Linked DNA regions of Saccharomyces cerevisiae S288C. The main gene of each other region encodes a partner of the protein of the gene in region 2 in a complex. Each region holds a gene or a part of one and is shown on either strand. Other genes may lie near its edges.

The links. The genes of interacting proteins can lie anywhere in the genome.
Region 1: RPL17A (region 2) and RPL6A share a complex: the UniProt entries of both Saccharomyces cerevisiae proteins name them as parts of the large ribosomal subunit.

What each region holds. Positions count from the first base shown.
Region 1 is NC_001145.3:122,655-125,890, forward strand, and holds RPL6A (60S ribosomal protein eL6 RPL6A), read right to left. Parts: upstream 1,519-3,236; coding exon 1,504-1,518; intron 1,089-1,503; coding exon 573-1,088; downstream 1-572. Other genes in the region: TCB3 (Tcb3p), read right to left, coding at 2,076-3,236. UniProt on the Saccharomyces cerevisiae protein: Component of the ribosome, a large ribonucleoprotein complex responsible for the synthesis of proteins in the cell.
Region 2 is NC_001143.9:107,265-110,784, forward strand, and holds RPL17A (60S ribosomal protein uL22 RPL17A), read left to right. Parts: upstream 1-2,004; coding exon 2,005-2,313; intron 2,314-2,619; coding exon 2,620-2,865; downstream 2,866-3,520. Other genes in the region: ribose phosphate diphosphokinase subunit PRS1, read left to right, coding at 52-1,335; CCAAT displacement transcription factor COY1, read right to left, coding at 3,200-3,520. UniProt on the Saccharomyces cerevisiae protein: Component of the ribosome, a large ribonucleoprotein complex responsible for the synthesis of proteins in the cell.

The DNA of each region.
Region 1 (3,236 bases), on a different chromosome or scaffold from region 2:
TTAATATTGGTAGGAACATTGGGCTCAAGCGATGCATTTTCTCTTGCATTTTGTTTCTCACTATTTGTCTTTTCTACTTTCAATTTTCTTATCTTTGTTCTATTCCCGTTCCTGTTCTATTCCCGTTTTATTTGCTGTGAGCAGGCCTTGTTATTGCCAACGTTTAAAACCATTTACTTTTTGTTTAAAAATCTCTCTTCTATTTCCACATCTCACCTAAAACAACGATCATTATATAACATGAGGTGTATTGTTTTTCCTCACCATACGATCAAATATAACATCACAAAGCTTACAGCAGAGCGACACTTTTTTGCTTAACAATTTGTATTTTGTATGATGCATCCAAGTCTTGCGCCAAGAAAGTCTACATTATAGGAAAGATCAAAGGAACTTGAAATAATGTATTCCTTTTTCTTTTCACGCCCTTTCTCTGGGTGATTGCCGCAATGAAGATATAAATATGCGAATAAAAAACCAATGCTCAATACAAATGCACTTATGAAACTGTAGTTAAATTATAATTTTACCTGCATATATATTATTATAGAAGTTCGTTAAAATAATTATATTTAAAATTTCAACATGTGTGGCTTGTCACCGTTCTTCAAAGAGAAAGAAGCAGACAAGTATTGCTTCAATAATGGAGTCTTCTTGATTTCAGCAATCAAAGCCTTGTCGACAACCTTTTGGTCTTCAACACGTTCAGCCTTGATTTCCTTGTTTTGTTGTTCTGGGAACAAGTTAGCTTCCTTCTTTTCCTTCTTAGTCAATTTTTCCTTAGCAAAGTATTCGACATTGAATTTTTCAACGTTGACACCTTCGACAGAAACCTTAGTAGAGGTAGCAATGACGTAACGAGCATTGACTCTTCTCAAAGGAACACCATTGACCTTGAATGGACCAGAAATCAACAAAGTGTTGTCTTCTAGATGCTTCAAGTAAACAACTCTCTTACCTCTGAAACGACCAGCTAGTAAGATCAAGACGGTACCTGGAACTAGAGAGGCACGCAACTTTTGTGGGCGAGCAGCCTTTCTGGTCTTCTTTAGAGCAGCGACGTCTTCGGATGGATACCACTTTGGAGCCTAAATGGAAAAAAGAAATATCAAACGACTAATGTTAGTATTCTTGATTTGCGAATGGTGATAAATTTTTATAGGGAGAGATTATGCCTAGCGATTTGAAACTGTAACGTGGGCCTTTGTTTGGAAACTAAATAATCATGAGCTAGGGTCGATATACCTTATTGCTTTGCTCACCTTCTCACTCATAGTATTAACATTGTGTTGAAAGGTATACTGCCTTAATCATTTATCCTCACTGTACACTGTATAACGTCATTTATCAGTTTTCATTGTATTATTTTGTTCGACGTCCTGATCTTATTGTTTCTTGTATGGATATGTCTGAGATTGATGGCATCATATCAAATTTCAAAACTTATGCCTTCGTGAATGTAAATTGACATCTCCCCCTCGAAATTAACATGTAGGAACATACTTTTTGGGCACTCATTTCGTTGGATGGCTATTACTTTGTTGTTTCGCCTAATGTAAAACTGATATTCAATCTTTAATGAGTAGTACATTTAATCTATTCATGTAACCCTTCCATTCGATAACCTCCATACCAACGAAATTTTGCAAAAGGAACAAAGCACACTCCAGTGGGAAACTGGACAAATCCGGTGAGTCCTCCCAGACGGGAAACGTGTCTCTCGCTTCTGTTGTCCGCCCAGCGGAGAAGCCCTCTCCAGAACGCTTTAGCCGCAACCGCAATGGTCTAGGCGGGCCGCTTTTCGAATCTGGTTAAGGAAAAAACTGAAGAAAAATATAACAAATCCATACATTTTAATAATGTACGGATTTAATAGCAGTCTTCACATTTCTTTCTTCTCCCTAAGCAGTAACAGGAGAGCGTTGAAATATGTTGTAATATATGTTGTAATATATTATAGTAAATATAACGTTATATAATAATAGCGCAAAATTATAACAAACACAGAAAAGACACCTGTTAACACACCAAATGTGCCCTTATTGAGCGTATAAAAGAATAGTTTTCACTGTTTATTACTGCGTGTATTCTTGAGGAACTTCTGGCACGGGAGGTACCTGACCATTCTTGTCTTTACCGTAATTAATCTTTACAATCAGATGACCGTCTCCTAATTTTACAGAAATTTGGCCATCTTGTTGAATTTGAGGGTCACCCAAGTTGATTTGAGCAATACCAAGATCTTTGTCCCTCGATAGTCTTTGATGGGAAATTGCACCCAGTACCAAATTGGCTTCGGGAGAAGCCTTGAACGAGCACTCTTCATCAAATACGGCAACACCATCATTATTGGCTTTTTGGCTTTTCGTTTTGTATATGTGTTTTAGTCTACCACCTTGAGTTAAAGAGATCTTAATTTGAACATGCTTGGCAACGTTTTCCGCAGCAACCACGGTAATAAAACCATTGTAAGTGCCATGAGGAGCTAAAGTACGCGCAAAACTGCTTGCACGAGAATGTCCTCTAGAGTTGCTACTAGGGGTATCTTTTTTGTTGCTTGAGCTAGAAGTGTTGTCAGTTGGCTTGACTACAGGAGATGCGCTTTGAACGGGCGCGTAACTTGTGTTAGGTACTGATGGATCATAGTCTAGTGAAGCTCTTGGTGTTACACTAGTGCTATTCAAATTACTTGGGGATCTCCTATCAAAAGATTTTTTCTCTGATGATTTTTTTGCACCGTTGGACTCATTTCCATTGCTGCTCTTGCTTCTTTTCATTGGATTGCCACCTAGAGATTTTAGAAGGTGACCACCTTTCTTTAAACCACCAGTGGCAACTCCTGTTGCTGCTCCTATACCAGTACCAGCTATGCCAACAGTTGCATGGGCTGCACCACTGGCTATTTTCATCGGCTTATCAGTGATACCGCCTTTCACGATATCAAAACTTGGCTTGATATATTCTGGGTTGAATGAACCTTGTAATTTGATACTTCCTTGTGTGTTTAAATTCAAATTCCAGTTGTAAGTTTTACCAACTTCTAATGAGGAAACGTCAAGTGAAGCTTGGCCTAAGTCGTCATTATCACCTGCACGATCCCAATCAAGAACATTAAATATGACTTGATTCTTACTTCTTGAAAGGATTGGTATTTTAGCATCTTCGTTCCATACGGGATCCAATGTTTTCTTTTTAATGTTCGATTTGAAAACTTTTTTATCATTGACAAAGATGTG
Region 2 (3,520 bases):
CACATCTGCAGATTCTACCGTTTAATAGTCTTAATTTGAAGAGAAATAAAAATGCGTAAGTGTAAAATTTTTGTTGGTAACTCTCACCCAGAGTTGGGTAATATGGTTTGCCAAAGATTAGGTATCGAACCAGCTCCATGTACATTAAAAAAATTTGCAAATGGTGAAACGTCAGTTCAAATCGGTGTATCTGTTCGTGACGAAGATGTGTATGTCATTCAATCTGGTTCTCCATCCATAAATGATGACATTATGGAACTGTTGATTTTAGTTTCTGCCTGTAGGGGCGGATCTGCTAGGAAAATTACAGCAGTCATTCCTCAATTTCCTTACTCTAAACAATGTAAAATGAAGAGACACAGAGGCGCTATTACTGCAAGGATGTTGGCCAATCTGTTGGTCATGGCTGGCGCTGATCATGTTGTGTCTATGGACCTTCATGCTTCTCAAATGCAGGGGTTTTTCACCAAACCAGTCGATAACCTATACGGGGGCCCTAGTTTAGCGAAATGGATTAGAGAAAATGTTGAAGACTATGAAGATGCAGTAGTTGTCTCTAAGAATCCAGGTGGTACTAAAAGAGTTACAGCCCTGGCGGATTCTTTGAAGATCAACTTTGCTATGATCCATACTGATCGTCGTCGTTCTAAGGATCTGTATTCTCAAAACAAGGATTTGCAACAACTAAAGTTGAGAAAGCAATCAATGTTGAGGAAAAATAGACCGATCATCAGACAAGGTGACCATCCAAATGAGGAGGAAAACATTATTTTAAGTAACGGTATTCAAACTGCTAGGATCCGTAACGGCCACGTTATCGGTGACGATGAGGCAGACGATGATGAAGACGCTATCTTAGAATCTGACAGCGAATTGCATTCTATTGATGGCTTAGACTCGCATGGCTTGGGCGGTACATATGATGCTGTCGACTCCGAAGACGAAGAGGAAATCCCAGTTCTCTATAGGGAACAACTGATTACATTGGTCGGAAACGTCCGTGGTCGCTCTGCCATCATTCTAGATGATATGATTGATAGACCTGGGTCATTTATTAGCGCTGCTGAACATTTGGTGCAAAATTGTGGTGCCAAAAAGGTTTATGTTGTTGCTACTCACGGTATATTCACTGGAGACTGTTTGGAAGAACTTGAAAAGTCCGATGCCATTGACACAATTGTGGTCACAAATACATATCCGATTTCTGGCGAACGCATAGCTGGGTCCAAGAAATTGGTTACTATCGATGTTTCTCCAATTTTCGCAGAATGTATCCGTCGTGATCATTATGGTGAGAGTATTTCCGTTTTATTTGACTCTTTGGCAGCTCTGTAAACAGAAGAGAGTGTGCGCAATATTTTAGTTCTTAAATATGACATAGATTATCAAAAAACTTTGTATGTTTGCCAGATTTCAGTGAATCTGCAAGAGTATAAATTATAGGAATTTGGGTGAATTAAACCATTTATTATGTTTTATGTATCATGGAAAAAACAGAACCTTTATCAAATCATCTATGAAATTTTGACAGGTTAGCCATTTTCCTCATTTTATTGCTCTGCAATAGTAAATTATATAGATTTATGCAATGCTCTAGGTTCCGGCGGCTTTTCATTTAATGTGAACTCAAGACTATTATCATCCAAACACATTACAACATCCGTACATTTAGTTGGCTCCATTTTTTGAAAAAATACTTCCGAGTAAGATGCTGAAAGTAATCAAATTCCGTGAAAAAGGAACCGATTTGGTAAGGGCGGACCTGCCGGAAGAAAATCGCTCCCGCGTGTCTACTGGACTTTGCTTCTTTGCCAGGCGGGAGAATGAAGCCCACCGGCCTAGCTCTATGGGCGCAGACAGGGATGGTCTCGATTTGCTTTCTCACTGCAATGGAAATTTCTAACATTAGAGCTTCAACGGCTAGCATAAAACAACTACTAACGTTTTCAGTGCTATATTCGAAAGAGCAAACAAAGAGTCCTCAAGAACTACTAATAGATTAAAATGGCTAGATACGGTGCTACTTCCACTAACCCTGCTAAATCCGCTTCTGCTCGTGGTTCCTACTTGCGTGTTTCTTTCAAGAACACCAGAGAAACTGCTCAAGCTATTAACGGTTGGGAATTGACCAAGGCTCAAAAATACTTGGAACAAGTTTTGGACCACCAAAGAGCTATTCCTTTCAGAAGATTTAACTCTTCCATCGGTAGAACTGCTCAAGGTAAGGAATTTGGTGTCACCAAGGCTAGATGGCCAGCTAAGTCTGTTAAGTTCGTTCAAGGTTTGTTGCAAAACGCCGCTGCCAACGCTGAAGTATGTCAAGAATATTATATGTTTAGTACCAGATGAAACAAGAATGAGTTGAAATTCAAAATGCGCGGAAAATCCATTATGATCAAGGGAAATTGAATATGATAAATGAATTATTCAGAAAGTCACAATTACCAGATTGGAATGAACTGTCAAGCTGAAAAGCAACTAAGGATTACCATTACGTGTTTATGATTTTGTTAGAAAAATATTGAAAACTTGATATTTCTTTCCGCTAGTTTCATCTTTTTCAATTACTTAACCGGATCAAAATTTTTTTTACTAACAACATAACTATTTTTATTACAGGCTAAAGGTTTGGATGCTACTAAATTGTACGTTTCTCATATCCAAGTTAACCAAGCTCCAAAGCAAAGAAGAAGAACTTACAGAGCTCACGGTAGAATCAACAAGTACGAATCTTCTCCATCCCACATTGAATTAGTTGTCACTGAAAAGGAAGAAGCTGTCGCCAAGGCTGCTGAAAAGAAGGTCGTTAGATTGACTTCTAGACAAAGAGGTAGAATCGCCGCCCAAAAGCGTATTGCTGCTTAAATAGAAGATGAAAAATAATGATAATATAATTCTCTGTTAATTTTAATCTTTTATCTATGTAATTTTATCTCCCCGTCATATCACATAACTCTAAAATAAGTTTTTTATTAATATTATTATATTATATCGGATAATCCTACGTTCAAAGTATTGAACATAGTTTTATAATGAACAAAGGTATAAGAAATGCTCATAAACTGAAAAAATCCCGTAGATAAGATAATAAGAAATGCTACTGTCTATATCAATATGTCAATCGTTACTCATTCCCTCTCTAGTACGGAACGTGTGCGTTCTTCATACCGAGCTATTAGAATTTAGTGAATAAAGGCATCTATCGATTTATGCCATGAACTGAACCAACGCCTGCAGCTACTTTTTCTGCTCCCCCAAGTCCTCCGTTGAGATTTGAAGAAGACTTTGCCGATTGTACTATACCAACCTCAGGTGTCATGTAGCCGCTAATATTAATCACATACATGCTCATCATGAATACGAGTCCGTGTAAACCGATACAGTAAAAGAGGAATACCATCCTTGTCATTTTATTTTGTAAAATGACTTTTGCAAAACTGGAAAATAACTTCTCTAAAGCTGATAATTTCTTGTTTTTGTAGTGGTTTAATTCGTTCTGTCTAAAATTTGCCATTGGATG